2 linked regions of the Drosophila melanogaster genome follow. The protein of the gene in region 1 purifies or fractionates together with the protein of each later gene. This does not show direct contact. Each region holds a gene or a part of one and is shown on either strand. Other genes may lie near its edges.

Region 1 (7,629 bases):
TGGTCTGTGTGATCCTTAAAGAGATCTTCGAGGAGTCCAAATATAGCTTCAGTAGTTTGGATCAAGCCATCAACACAATATATTTTATTCCCGTGATATTTAACGCTCTTTAGGTATTCCTGCATTTCCTTTAGTTTGTTCCAAACTCCATTGTTAACTTGGAGCGCGAATTTCATGGGGTTTTTGTCAGTTAATACTCTGCTATTCAGGCAATCAAAGTAATCATTAACTTTTTGGACAAATGCAGCCGTAGAAGCTGCAACTTCGGAACTATTTCGATGTAATTGCTTGTTTTGGTTACAAGTCTTAATTGCCGCTGCAACAGTGTGGCTAAGTGTTTGAGTTGCCAAACATACGCGCATTAGATCAAATCTGGTTGGATTAACGTGACTCCTTGTTAATTTAGTCATTCTCGTTACTGATCCATGATCTAATTCGTAAACCTCTCGAATGACATCAAAGTCAACTAGTCCGTCAGGGGTTTCAAAATTAGCTCTTAGAAAATTATTCCTTACAGACTTGAAAAGATGCGGAATGTCATAAAACATATAATATTTTTTATTATTTAAGGTAAAGTAAGATTTCTCATTGGTGACTTTAAGTAATGAGGTACATTTTCTATTGTTACCTCCTTGATCGTACACAACACCCCTTACTTTGAACCCAATTGTTTCAGCAATAATAATATTTTTATAAATAAGACTTTTTAAGCAATCGCCTTTTATATTCGTTTCGGCCACAAAATAGTTTAATATAAATTTCCATTTTTTTTAAATACCCCGAACAACAAATACGCAAATATGGCTTAGGATTTTATTAGAGCGATCAAGTAAATGCTCTATTCCATCTATTATATCAACTGACACATTGTAAGTTAGGTTTTTTTTATCGCTACTTCATCACAAGCCAATATGCACTCTTTATCAGATGCATTCATTTCTTTTATAGATTCTTTAAGGGCTGAGTACAAACATTCGTTGTCTCCTGGCTGTAACTTTTTTATGCTGTTCCACTTTTGCAAAGATGATGGACTTGGAAAATTTAATTTCAGCGAGTCTCTTAAGAACGTATATGTCGAAGTGGACCTGTAATATATGCTCTGAGCAAACAATTTTTTTTTCCATCTTGTATTTGTGCCCTTTTTTCCTTAAAAAGCATTTTCGTTAATATTTTTTCATTTCCTGTTAAATTAATTTTATCTATTTCAGAATATATGTTTTTTTCGGTCTTAGATTCCAACCTAACTTATTTTTTTTTTAGGTTTGAGTTTTCTTTCCTCAGCATTTTAATTCTAAACTGTCTCTCTAATTTGTCTTTGTAAAATAAATAAAAATATGAAAACTGTTTATTGCAAAAGTCACATCAAAGACACTAGAATTATTCTAGTGTCTTTGTTTTGGTCATATCTTGAGGCACGAAGTGCGGACACAAGCACTCAACAATCATTGCCTTATTAATTTTTCACACGCCGCAAGCTGAATACTCTAATGACAAATATTCTAATATAAAGTAATTTTTGAAATTTATTTTGTTATGATATGTACATGGATTTGGCTATTTCTAATCTGTTTTCAAATAATAATAACGTTAAGGCAATGCAAACAAGAATTTTTCGCATGATGCCAATTGATCAAAAATAATATAGATTTAAAGTCTAAGAACTTCTACGGTGAAGGGCATATTTTGTCAAATTTACAATGCATGAGCATACGTGTGCACACATAAAGTTGTCTGTTATCACTGTATGCGTAGAAAAGAGCTGTTCGCTGTAGCGCTCTTCGCTCTCTCGCTCTCTAACAAAAATTCCAGAGAGCCTGGAGCCACCTCTAGAGCCACGGCAAAAAAATCGTGTGCCAAAAAATCGTATGGCGTTACGCATCTTGTTATTCTAGTGTCTTTGGTAAAAAGGTGGGCAGTGCCATCGCTTCGCTTGAGAAGGGCGCCCTTGGGATCGAAAACGCTCCACTCGTAATTTACGAAAGTGAGTGGATAGCCAAGAAGAGAAAGCCTCCGTCCCGGTTTCCTAGGGCAGTGAAGGATACCGGCTAGGATAATATAATTTTTAGCAGATTGCTTGTATTACTTTCTATTACTTATGTAAGTATGTGAATGTCGTTCCTTGTCAGCTACAGCTACGGAAAATGATCTACAATTAAGATAACTCGTAAAATGTTTTTAATATTTCACAATATTAGCCCTTACCAACAACAAATCTAGTTTTTATATTAATGTTTACTAAATAAACATATTTATTTTATATAAGAGTATCAGTAATTTGGCTTAATGGGCCCGCGATACATAAATTCATGTTTGCTACCAGTACCAAGACCTAAATATTGAATTTGACTATGTATCGGGAGAGTAAAAATGGATTTATGCATATAAAATCTGTGGTTACAATTAAAATAAAATCATATATCATATATACAAAATAAAAAATTAAATAATCAGAAAGAATAGTAATGATAATATTAACTTAAATAGTCAATCAAGGTGTACTGTTAGGATTAAACAAAACACTTTGAATTAGACAAATATTTCCTTAATGTCAAAAGAACCTTAACTAACAGGGTAAGTAAGAAAGGGGTTACTGTTTCCCCGCATCGTTTGCGGAGGACCCATCTTCGTTGTGCGGATAACTGGCGTCCAGAAAGAGATTACGATCCGATTTGTTCGACTGCAATGGGTTACTTGGTTATTAACTGCTGTGCATAGCGTAATCTCACTGACCTCTCGGTACTTTTGCAGGTAAATGGACAGTGGTTCCACGTAATTGTCGAATCCCAGATTGCTGAACGCCACCAGCAGGTCGTCCCCGTTGACTGTCTTGCGATTCTCCGCGACGCTACGTTCGATGGCCTCACTGCTAATGAAGGATATGAACTCGGAGACACACTCCTGGATGCACTCTCGTGCATCCTTGGCTATCTTGCCGTTCTGGGGCACCGGAACCTTCATGATCTTAATGATGTTGCAGATGGGCAGAAATCGGTCCTGTTCGCGTAGCATTATCCCTCCATCCTGTTTGTCCGAATCGTCTGCGGGGGTGAAAAATCAAAGTCAAGCAACAAAACACGCGGTTGTGGATGGTCTTTTGTTTACCGCCGGACGCCTCGTCCTCCTCCTTGACCAGCATGTCGTTCAGATACTGCTGCGAGTCCTCGCTATTGCTCATATCTTGGATTTTTAACAGATTTCTTCAACGGATTTGCTTTTGTTTACTTTCCCAAATTGCGAGGGCTATCGTCAATCGATAACCACCCCAAGTGGTGAAGGCTGACCGCTCCACCCGATAATTGCGCCACTTGATCTGGCAACGCCGCGCCTATCGATAGTCGTCTTCTGATCGCAGCGGTATACAGCGGTATTTATTGCGCTGCTGCTCTCTTCTTTATATTGATAGTTGTTGATCTGATATCCTCTGATCAGAACGGAATTCTCGCGAATTTGGCGCTGGCCAAGGGGGAAATTGACATGGAGGACATCAAGATCAAGATGGAGCCGCAGGACGAAGTGACGGACAGTTCAATCAGAATTCTGAGCGGTAAGCTTGCATGCTCTCCTCCCACATGCGTGTGTGTGAGTGCTGCTGGGCGCCGTAGTGTTGGTGTCTCTGCTATTCTATTACGCACTTTACCGTTAACTTTTAATTCTTTCTAAATTCGGCCAATTTATAGCATGTGATACGCTGAAAATTTTGGACGAGGGATCTCAAATGATAACAGTGCCGATCAGGGATCGTTTGCGTTCCGAGGACGAGCGCCTATTTATCGCCAGCCTGGAACTCGGCCACCAACAGGTAAAAAATATACATGTACATAACCTAAAAAAGCACAAGGGTCGCGTGGTAGCGTGGAGATTCCGTTACGGGATCTAAATATTAATCGAAAGGAAGACATAACTGTCATAAATCTAAACATATATATTAAACATTTTGTCATAATTTTACAAAGTATCATATTTAGGCTGCATAATAAATGTAAATATATGTAATCATAATTATCTATCTAAATTCAAGCTACATGTATATGTACGATTTTTGCTAACGCATTAATACAAAATTTAATCAGCTAATACTTACACCCCCAGATATTTGCGTCTGAATCGGAGGACAACCCAAATCCAAAACATTGCGATATTTGCCAGTACAAGTTTAAAAGCCAACAGGATATATCAAGTCACCGGGTTCATCACGAAATGAACCTACATTTTTGTCGCCTGGGCTGTGGTATCTGGCTGGACACGCTTGAAAAGATCCTTGAGCATGAATATCGCCAGCATTTCCAGCCAGGGCGTGTGTTGTGCTGTAGGGTGAGCTCATCTGCATTTAACTTTTATACACACATTGATTAAACAGTGAACGTTTTAGGTTTGCGATTTTATGGCCAATAGCGCGGACGATCTGGCCAGCCATATGCAAAAGCACATTTACGTATATCGCTTTGTTTGCTCCATTTGTCGTCGGCATTTTGAGTCCAAACAGAGCCTCAATCTGCATAGGAAGCAGAGCCAGGACTTTTGCAGCCTGCTGGATTTCAGAAAGGGGTCATCATCAAAGCCGGAACTTGTGGCAGTTAGTACGCCGGTACCTGAAGAGTCGAATTGCTATGTGCAAATAAAAGAAGAGCCACTTAACGCAGAGGAAGCAGACCGAATGCTATTGGAAGACAACCCTCCACTCAATGTAAAATTGGAACCACAGGACGAGGAAATGCCAGATGTGAGTAGGATTAAGGAGGAACAGTCAAATGGTAGCGTCTGGACAGCCATACATACTCCGTTGAGGAATAAACTGCGCCTGCCTGCTCTGGCCACTACCAAAAATCAGATGCACTTAAAACGTAAGTTCTTTGCAATTAATAACAAAAGTAGTTACATAATTATTACTACCTTCTCAGCAGGTGTTAAGCGAAATGGACTACTAACGTCTAATGTGGAATCTCTTAACAAGAAATCCAATCACTCAGTGATATCCGATGATGCGAATATTCCGATTTCCAACCAAGAACCTTCAAATTCCTCAATTGCAGCCAATATACTGAAAGTGTTACCTAGTAACTGCATGGTCATCAAGTTGCCTCCCAACACAAAAATTTTTAAGACGCCAGGTCAAGCTCCGGCTGCCCCTAAGGACTCTCCCACCGTAACTCTGAGTGGTACGGAGAATTCAACCAATTTCATAAAGATTCCGAAGACGATAAGTATAAGTACTGTCGGTTCCATGGGTAATCCTCATGCGTCTGCTAAGACTGTGCAACCAACCCAAACTCACAGTCGATCATCGTGCTTTCTTGTCGACTCGTTTAACAATTCCAAGAGCAGACCCGAATCCATGAAGATAATCAATGAATTTCGTAATCAAATTCGGTCCATAGAGAAGACATTGCCACTGCCGGGAACAGTGCTACAATCCTCGAAAGTAACGATGGATGAATCAACGTCGTCTCCCATGGATGCACCCAAACCCGTAGAACTGATGCTCAACCCGTCGGCTTTAATGGTGGCCAGGGAACTGGAGATCCAATACCCGCTATATCGATTTATGTGGACTTGTCCGCTATGCCAGCGAATGTTTGAGAAGCATTGCGCATTTCGTGCGCATCTGACTAACAAGCACGACTTAACCGATGAAAAGTGTAACGTCCTTAAAGTGGTTTTAATGCCTTCTAAAAGTAAGTAAACTAAAATTTTGAACGTGCTCGTTTTAATTGCCCTTGCAGTACTTTCACAGGACTCAGCAAATGCTGCAACTCAAAGAGTGCATGTGCCATTGAATCCACAAACGCCTGTGCCTCCTCCAGAACTACCCAATACTGTTAATTTGCCTTTATTGCTAAGTAAAACGTCTGCTCCATTAACAGGCCAGACATCAGCACTATCCAATGTGCCTGTTAACAAAGGTTTATCCCCGACAAGTATAAATATAGAAAAACCAAAGGTCTCCAAGAAGCCCAAAAAAAATCAGTCGTTCCAGTGCACCGAATGCTTAAAAGTGTTTACTACTTTTGGAGCCTTGCGCATTCACAAGTCCATACACACGGGGGAACTGCCTTACCAGTGCAGCTACTGTGACAAACGTTTCCGAACTCCTGGACAAGTGCGGGTACACCACCGTCGTCACACCGGAGAGAAACCATTTAAGTGCAAGGTGAGAAGGTATAAGAATTGAGCCTATGCTTACCTTAGCGAAATTAGACATTTGTTAATTGATTTATTGCAATTTTCTGTTTCCCCTTTGCAGATATGCTCGTTAGACTTTACTCACCGGGAAACTTTAATTTCCCATCTATCACGGCATATTGGGATGAAGCGGTATAAATGCTACGGATGCGATAAATACTTTGTAGTTGTCAGCGGCTTACGAGCTCATCGTCGTCTCCGGCCAGACACCTGTGGGAAGGTTAAGTTCACCGCTCGAGCCCATGGTCCCCGCGTGCGGGTCATCAGGGGAGAGGTGGTGTTCCAGTATCACCCAGAGCACAACGGCTACTTACGCAGTGAGGACCCGCTCAACATTTTGTCCCAACGTGATCAAACCAACTCAACCCCGCCAGAAACTGCAATAGGTAAGTCGTTATCAGTGAGTTGTTTATTTATTTTATGAAATATTGTCTTTTTTAAACTGGCTCATAAGATACAGGAAATGCGATTAGGAACTAGAAAGGAACATTGCAGGATGGTATTGAAAATTCGCTATAAAGTCTGGAGAGGTATTCCCACGGAATAGTGCAGGAAAGGGTCTGGCTACTCATTGTATTAAGATTCAAATGAATTAATTAATAATGGCAATTACTTTTGAAATACATTCTATTCAAATGTGGACGTGTATGTTGACCGTGAAGGAAGATGGCTATGTTTATTGTTAGCTTGAATACCAAACGAGACCATCATTGTAAGGAATATGGATATGGACGTGACAAAGTATTTGGCGGCACCACAGGGCTCACAGACTCATCATAGTTGGCTCGTAAAATCTTACTTGGAAAGCACTACCCCACCAGCCGATTGACCAGAGATTGCTCCCTCTGATTACAATTTTTCCTCATGATGGCTCATGGCTTGGCAGGCTTCTTCGTCTATGATGTATTCAAAAATGGATCTGTTAATGGATTCGTCAGAAAGACAAAAATAAAAAAAAAACAAAAGTAGTGGCTAGCGATAAAGAAAATACTTTGTAATGATGTAAAAGTATAAAATAAACTACCATCAAATACCTTTTGAAGGGTAAATTAAAGGCTCTAAACGGTTTTTATTTTCGTCTTTTATTATTTTTCATCATTCAGTTTGCAGTTTTTTGAAAATGATATATTATTTGCATGGTATTTTTAAACATAATATGACATTCTTACCCATACTTTAATGCGAAATACATACGCTCTTCTGTTTGCTTGATTAGTATAATCATTATATTGTTTGCTTGTTTGTGTATCGTATGACCTTTAAAATTGTTTTATCTTTCTATTTCGTAAAACATACAAAACAATTAATTATCTTAACAAAACTTGACAAGCCGGCAGATTGTGTAATATACAATATAATCGTACATTTCAATTTATGTATATGTTACGTGTAATACGATTGCAACTCTCTGCGGGGGTACCATTATCTAGACATCTATTTTTGCTAGCG
Region 2 (8,545 bases), on another chromosome or scaffold:
GCATTCCTTTGTTTGTTTTTATGGGCGGCTGAAACTGTGTTTTTTAACAGGTGGGCGAGCATTATCTTTCGTTTATAATTTAGGATCTACCAAGTGCAATGACTTGCTCGAATTAAAAATGCACAAAGCAATTTGTTTAAATCCAAAACGAAACCATTGCGCAAAGTGTATTTCTCAGATATCAGATATCGTAACACTGATATCCAACAGATATAGGAGATATGGGAAAAGCTAACCAACCGCAATACAATAACAAAATGTGAGCTCATAAAAAAAGCGAAGCAACAAATTAGTACGGCACTAATACATATGCACGATTGCACGTAAATGTGTGTATCTGTGTTTGTTGTGTGTGCAGCGGCAAATGGAAATTATGGCGAAAATGCGAGCCAAAGGGGAACACGAAATAAATTAACACATTTTTTTATGTAACCCAGCGGCCAGCGGCAACGATGACTAATTGCGATTACTAAGGGCGCAAAACAGGTGGCCGCCAGGAGGGGGTGAAGGGAAAACAGGCAATCAAACAATAAAAGAGCGCATCAATAACAATACTCTTTGTGTGCGTGCCAAAAGGTGAGCAATTTCATAAAGCATACCAACAAACATTTATCTGATTTGTCACACCTGCCTGTTGGAACCGCATACTCATATAAGGGTTAATCTTATCAGAGGCCCACCGTTGTTGCCACCGCCTTTCAAATCAAATCAGACCGCTTTGCCATAGTAATGGTCTGGCAACAACAAATGAGTATCGCTACATGGAAATGTGCGCGTGTGTGTGAGAGACCAACAACAAAACAAGAAAACAAGCAAACGCACGAAGAAAGTTGTGAAAATTCAATTTTCCAATGGCCCAGTCTGATTGGGACTGCCTTGAAGCGTCCTCTAATCAGATAACTATCAATGTAAATGCGTAAATATCAACGCATATGCGTTGTATTTGTGGAAAATATTACGCTTTAACCACATATACACACACCCCCGCTTCCGGTGGGTGTTTTTTTTACGCTGGAGGGGGGAGGGTGGTTTACTCACCTATGCGCTGGCCAACTGGAGTGGAGAAAACATTTCCCAAGGCGCCAACGTTGAAAAATGAAGCCATCGTGGAGAAGTTTCTTATTAATGCTCGCCGTTGGGTTGCAGTGCGGTTAAAATTGTTCTTTATTTACTTTTTGTTCACCTGGATGAAATGTTTATGCACTTGTCTACAGCAGAGTGACCATGGCTGGCCTCAGCGAAAAATACCCACAAAGAAATGCATTACAATAAGTGGGTAAATAGGAATAGGTTTTTTTCCAGGGCTGCAGCATTTTATTTCATTTTATTTAAAAGAATTATCCACAGTTTTTGAGATAATGACATAGTTATACCCGTTACTCGTAGAGTAAAAGGGTTTATTAGATTCGTTGAAAAGTATGTAACAGGCAGACCATATAAAGTATATATATTCTTGATCAGGATCAGTAGCCGAGTCGATCTGGCGATGTCCGCCTGTCTGTACGTTTGAACGTCGAGATCTCAGGAACTATTTAAGCTAGAATGTTTAGATTAAGCGTGCAGATTCCAGAGACATAGACGCAGCCCAAGATTGTTGACCCATGTTTCCATGACCACTCCAACGCCCACATTAGATTGTTCTTAGTTTTATTGTTCACCTTGCACCTTGCACCTTTTGGATTGTAATCACACCCACATCTTTAAACAATTTTAATTTTTTCTCATTTTATTCGCAATCCGACTAGCTGAGTAACGGGTACCTCATAGTCATGGTTGTTCACAGAGCGTGTTATGTATCTCAAAAACTTTGTAATTTCAAAGAGTTATTTCACAATTCATTCCACAGATTTCGTGGATAATGAATTTTCGATTGTTCAACCTTGCACCTGTCTCAAAAATGAGCTTTCCGTCAGCGGTCCTTCTGACGGTACCGCTGGCGGTCCCACTGATGGTTCCGCTGATGGTCCCGTTGATAGCCCCACGGACGGTCCCCTTGACGGTTCCGCTGACGGTCCCTTCGATGGTTCCGCTGCCGGTCGTGCTGACGGCCCCGTCGACGGTCCGGCTGATGGTCCCTTCGACGGTCCCGCTGAGGGTTCCGCTGAGGATCCCGCTGAGAGTCCCACTGAATGGCATTGGAACGAACTCGTTGATGACCAATCCAATGACGGTCGCGCTGACGGTCCCGCTGACGGTAGCGCTGACGGTCTGGCTGAGGGTCCCGCTGAAGGCTCCTCTAGCGTTCCCGCTGACTTTCCCGCTGACGTTCCCGCTGACGTTCCCGCTGACGTTCGCGCTGACGCTAACGCTCCTGCTGACGGGCACGTCGTCGGTCTCGCTGTCAGTGATCTCCATGTCGACGGCCCAGATTTCCGAGGACAGTTCATAGGATTCGTCCTCTGAAAGAAGAGAACGTAGGGTATATTAGTGAGTGAGGCTTTGAGACTTATATTTTGATAGTCCCGACTTGGTTAGTCGGCTAAACTTCTCTGTTCCAAGACCCATAATCTTAAGCCCATTTAGATCTAACTATAAGTTGCATGATTCTTACAGAATATTGTGTTCTGACTATAATAGTCATTATCCTATTATCTGTAATCTTTGCTCTCTGCCGCTCTTAAAGCAATCAATCAAATCAATCGGTGCATTATTCACAAATACGACGCAAAATTTGTTTTTGGTTAGATTAAGGAATATATGAGTTAGCGGTTCCAACAGGCTGATAGGACAAATCATATGCCTCGCACGTAGGGTATAAACTGAGAAGAAACGTGTTTTTCCCCGGAATTCTTTGCGACACATACAGTTTGTCAAGAAACTGTTTACACACTGTGAAATAAGTTGAATTTTTGACTTTAAAGCTAAAAATAAAGGGTTTTTTGCTTAATTAAACGCAATTTTTTTATAAAATATAATTAAACAATATTTATTTTACTTATAAATCAAAAAACAAATTAAAAATATTAAATATACAAGAAAATAAACAACAAATTCCAAGTTTACACACTTTTGAGACTGTCAAGAAACTCTTTACACATTTTGTTTTCCTACTTTGTTTTGTTCTTTTTCTTAGAACGAACTCGATTTTTCCGTTATTTTTGGCTTTACATTGCTTTTTACAACGCTTCTATTGAAATTTGTTGACTTTGCTTGTGAAATTTTGCTGATCAAACGTGCTTAAAGCGAATTATTAAATTTAATAAAATGCCTGGAAAGAGATTAACTTTTGAAGTTACCCAATTAATAAACTATAACCACCAGTTGGGAAAATCTTTTCCAGAATTAGTATAAATGTTTCCTGTATCCCGTAAGACCGTCTACAATGTTTTAAAAGGCTCGGAAAAAGAGGGCAGGCTTGAACCTAAGAGTGGTGGTGGGCGGAAAATTAAAATTAAAAAGCGTGTAGACCGCTTTATTATGCGAATAGTGATTGCGAACCCCCGAATCTCGGTCAGATCACTTGCTCTGGATATCAGGCAAGAATGTCACCTAACTGTGTCACACGAAACTGTGCGCCAAGTCATCCTACGCCATAGGTACTCTTCAAGAGTTGCAAGGAAAAACCCTTTGCTATCAGATGCCAATATTGAAAAGCGTCATTTATTCGCTATGAGCATGATGGATCATGCGGAAGAGTACTGGGATGACGTCATATTTTGTGACAAAACAAATATGATGCTCTTTTATAACGACGGGCCAAGCAGAGTATGGCGCAAACCGTTGAGTGCGCTAGAAAAACAAAATATCATTCCAACAATAAAATTTGGAAAAATGTCACTGATGGTTTGGGGCTGTATCACCAGCCGTGGAGTGGGAAAACTAGCCTTAATTGAGAGCACAATAAATGCCGTGCAATATCTAGGAATTAAAAAAAAAAATTTGAAGGCCAGTGCAGAAAAATTTGGTCTAGTTAGCAACAACAAGCCAAATTTTATGTTTTACCAGGACATGATAAGAAACATAAAGAGTGCAATGTACGCACCTGGCGCCCTTATAACTGTGGTAAAGTGATCGATACGCCCCCTCAGAGTCCTGATCTGAACCCCATTGAAAATTTGTGGACCTACTTAAAGAAGAAGGTGGCAAAAAGGGACCTAAAACACAACAACAGCTTATGACTGTAATAGTCGAAGAGTGTGAAAAGATCCCGTTTGAATATGACCTGCAAAAACTTGTCCAATCCATGAAAAAAAGGCTTCAACTTGTAGCTAAAGCCAATGGGGAACATACTACATACCAAAACTTTTAAAATTTTAATAAAATAATTAAAAAATTTAGGTTTAAACTTCGATTTAGTGTTTTGTGTAAAGAGTTTCTTGACAGTCTCAAAAGTGTGTACACTTGGAATTTGTTGTTTATTTTCTTGTATATTTAATATTTTTAATTTGTTTTTTGATTTATAAGTAAAATAAATATTGTTTAATTATATTTTATAAAAAAATTGCGTTTAATTAAGCAAAAAACCCTTTATTTTTAGCTTTAAAGTCAAAAATTCAACTTATTTTACAGTGTGTAAACAGTTTCTTGACAAACTGTATGTATGTACACTTGCCACACTTTTTGGTGTTGTAATTATATCTTTCGGATCAGAAACCTCGCAATTTACGTGGCATTATAATTAAATATATTATTATTATTAAAATGTAACGAACATTATCCAAAATAAGATACAAATTGAAAAAAATACGGAGAACTAGAGTTCACTAAAATTATTAAAGGTTCCATAGGTTTCATACCTATGGCCCTAATATTGGAGGAAATATTTCCCATTGCGGTGGAGTTATTTATTATAGTTATTTTCACTGGTTATTTTATGTTATGGTATTTTCACTGGTGGAAGTACGGAGACTGAATGATATATGTTCTGCAGCCATGCAATATATATAAGTACAATTTATTAAATTTTTTAATCTAACATTGCTGTGGTGAGTATGGGGGTTGGGTCATAGCGTTTAGTATAAGTATTTTAAGTTAAGTACTTTTCTTGAGTGACATGGACTGGTAACATTAACATATGGCACAATATTTTAATTATTTTTACAAATAGCATTTAATTTTAAACTAGCATTAATTTCTTTTTATATTTTTGGATACCCCGTCAGAAGGACGAAAGCACCGGAAGGACAGAAGGACAGGAGTCATCGCCGGGGATAAATTGGAGTTTTGCAGCATTTAAATATAGCCGACTGTCCCACCCACTGTCCCTCCCACTGAAATCTTAATGTTGCAGATCTATTGCAGAAATCTTATTGTTAATAAAGCGGTTCATGACATGGATTGGTTGTGGTATTGGTACTAAAGAGGGCGGATCTTAAACTCCTCCCACTGTTATGTTATTATCTCAAAAACAGTGGAAAATTTTTAATGATTTTTTAATTTAATGAAATATTCCTGAAATGTCCTTAAGGTCTGAGGAGTTAAGGTTTGAGGAGGTCTAGCGTGCAAAATGTTGGGGAGCCGATTATTCTATCGCATTATTTTTTTACTTTCTTGAGCCCTATAAGTAGTACATAGATAGTTAGATCTGCCATTTTGAAACATTTTTGCATTTTTATTCTTGGGAATTTACTCCCAAATAACGTTAGCGCAAATTTATTAATTAATGTATTTATTAAATAAATTTATTATACTGATAACATATTAATATAGCAAAAAAAAATACGTTTTTGAATATATGTGCATTCTTTTTAAACTGCTGCACACATTTATTATTTTTTTGGACTCTTACAATACTTTTTCAAAAATTTTAAATATAACTGCGACTTTGAGCGATACTTTCACTTTTCCCGTGACGCCAACCGATATGCACAGCGCTTGCAGCCCTGGCCAATTTTGATGTGTTTCAGCATTGTACCCTGACAACCCTGCTCTGTAAAACTAGGAAAAACAGAAAATTTTATTTTCAATTGTTAAATATCCAAACGTAAACAGCCGGAAAATGTCACGACAAGCCTCTCGTTTGGACGCCAAGAAAGTGGTAAGTTGGCCAAAGAAGAGAGAACAGCGCAAGATCGGTATCGTTAGTCATTTGGAGGCATAGATCTAGTTGTAAGGTTAGATTTGTGCCATAGTGCCTAAGAACGAATCTTTGACGTGCCATCCACCCTCAAAATCGGCTTCATTCACTTTTCCAGTAAGTGTGTGTGTTGGGGGCTTGAGGTTGAGACACGGACACACAGACAGGCACAAGCCGACGTGCAATCAGGCAATGGAAAACCATTTCAGCGCCACCAGTCGCCCCTCAGCCACGCCCAGAATGTGCACCACCGCCTCTGCCGTCGGTGCTGCCGCCAGCGCCGCCGCCGCCGCCGGCAACAACAATAACAACAGCAATAGCAGCAGCAACAACAACGCAACAACCGGCAACAATTTAAGTGTTAGCACTGCAGCCGGAGGAGCCACAAATGCCGCAGCAACGGCACAACCCATCCAAGTGATACCAATGCCCATGCTGCCCACCGGAGCGGCGCAAATCATAATTGGCCAGCAGCCACAGGGTCAGGCGACGGCGACGGGTCTGCAGCCACAATTGATACCGCTGCAGGCCAACCAGATTATGCTGCAGGCTGCGCAGCAGCAGCCACAGATGCAGGTGATGCAGCTGCCCGATGGCCAGACTATATTCTATCAGACGCCCACCATTGCCGCCTTGGATCCGAATGCAGCGGCCAACGCCGCAGCTGCCATGGCAGCCCAGCCGACGCCGCACTACCTCAATATCAATGGGCAGCTGGTGCAGATCAATCCAGCACCGAGCGCTAATCAGGCGGCACCCACAGCTGGGCAACAGATTATAATGGTGCCGCAGACAGCGATGGCAGCGGTGAATGCAGCGGCCGCCAATGCCGGAGTAGGCGCCGGAGTGGGCACAGTGGTTACCCAACAACAACAGCAGCAGCATCAACAAGTACAATCCCAGACCCAAAACCAGCAGCAGCAGCAACAGCAGCAGACGGTGGCGGCGGTGGCTGCCAGTGCTGCAGTCAATAATATAAGCGCCGATGTCAGCACAAGTACAACTGGAACGAATACGAACAGCGAGGACGAGAGCTCCAAGGGCGAGGCGGACGAGGAGCCGCTCTATGTGAATGCCAAGCAGTACAAACGTATTCTCATTCGGCGGCAGGCCAGGGCCAAGCTAGAGTCGCGCATACCCAAGGAACGGTGCAAGTATCTGCACGAATCTCGTCATCGCCACGCCATGAATCGGGCTCGTGGCGAGGGTGGTCGCTTCCATTCGGCACAGGAGAAGGGCGACCAAGATTCGTCCGGCCCGGAAGGCGGCAGCATGCCAATGGCGTCCAGTGGCGGCGTCACCCTCAGCCGTGGCACGGCACGTGCTCCGCCCAAACTGATCGCGCCACATCAAACGCCCAGCATTACCATAACGGCGATCAAATCGGAATAGTCGCCTCCTAGCTGTAGGATACAAACTAGATAAGATTGTAGTCATAGCGTTTAGTCCTAAGCCAGTCGCTCTGTGTCCATTTGTCCTCAATCACACCACTTTAGTCGGCTCACATAGTTTTCATTTTTTTTTTTTTTCAAAATTAAGTCTTCATATATTATTTTCAAAGGGAATTTTTGGGTTTTTCTATTTATTTTCATTCACTTAGATTGGAAAAGTGATAAGTTCAAGAAAGAGATAATTGTTTTACTTATTATATTCATTTTCTAAATCGTTTCTAATTTCTAATATTTATTTTCTGTTAGCCAGCTGTTAAAAATTGTTTGTAATTATTAAATAGAGAATTTATTTCATTTACTAGACATTTTCAAAATTTACACAAGTAATGCAATTATTAATTTAGGGTTTATAGTTCATTTCAAAATGGAATGGGGAAAGGGCTGCCAATAGTCACCGCAAAACAACAGAGCTCAACAATATAAGATTCAACAAGGGTGAATGATATAGTCGCCTTCCCCGACTATCAGATACCCGTTACTCAGCTTTTGGAAATGCGAACTCGAAATTTCAAAAGTTCATAAATTTCAAACAAATTTTTTGGCAAATCGATAGAAGACTAATAAAATTATGAAAAAATATCCAAAAAATTTTCAAAAGTGTGGGAGTGGCAATTTTGTGCGGCTTGTGGGCGCTGCGTCGTGGTCTCTATCATTAACCTCAATATCAACCCTTTAGCGTTTATATTTCCTGAGATCTCTTTTAAACGGACAGACGGACATGGTTACATCGACTCGGCTACTGATTCCGATCAAAAATATATATACTTTATATGGTCGGAAACGCTTCCTTCTGCCTGTTACATACTTTTCAACGAATCTAGTATACTCTTTGAATCTACGAGTAACGGGTAAAGCACCATTGAGGACCATTTGCCGCATAATAAATGCAACACAGTTTATAAAATTAAAAAAAAAAAGCATATACATTTACTGCGGAACTCGTGAATGGCTACAGTTTTGTATATGGTACAGGCCTATAAAACGCTTTATTCTGGCTCTGGATTGATTTTTATTCGCTATCTGCTCTCTCCTCTCTTCCTCCTTTGTACAACAAACGAAAAATCAAAACACAGAACTC

What was found.
Region 2: the proteins of Nf-YB (region 1) and Nf-YA purify together in Drosophila melanogaster (affinity purification with mass spectrometry, with the first as the bait; 2 studies listed by BioGRID). This does not show direct contact.

What each region holds. Positions count from the first base shown.
Region 1 is NT_033779.5:19,731,682-19,739,310, reverse strand, and holds Nf-YB (nuclear factor Y-box B), read right to left. Parts: upstream 3,268-7,629; 5' UTR 3,176-3,267; coding exon 3,103-3,175; intron 3,039-3,102; coding exon 2,731-3,038; intron 2,678-2,730; coding exon 2,588-2,677; 3' UTR 2,223-2,587; downstream 1-2,222. Other genes in the region: CG10462 (uncharacterized protein), read left to right, coding at 3,475-3,544, 3,678-3,799, 4,090-4,311, 4,370-4,841, 4,899-5,672, 5,721-6,148, 6,242-6,566, 6,635-6,660.
Region 2 is NT_037436.4:9,439,556-9,448,100, reverse strand, and holds Nf-YA (nuclear factor Y-box A), read left to right. Parts: upstream 1-5,833; 5' UTR 5,834-5,938; coding exon of another isoform or gene 5,939-5,977; intron 5,978-6,134; 5' UTR 6,135-6,208; coding exon 6,209-7,408; 3' UTR 7,409-8,045; downstream 8,046-8,545. Other genes in the region: CG3529 (uncharacterized protein), read right to left, coding at 1,039-1,105; Srg3 (Sting-regulated gene 3), read right to left, coding at 1,816-2,399, 4,737-4,770; Bet3 (blocked early in transport 3), read left to right, coding at 5,939-5,977, 8,541-8,545.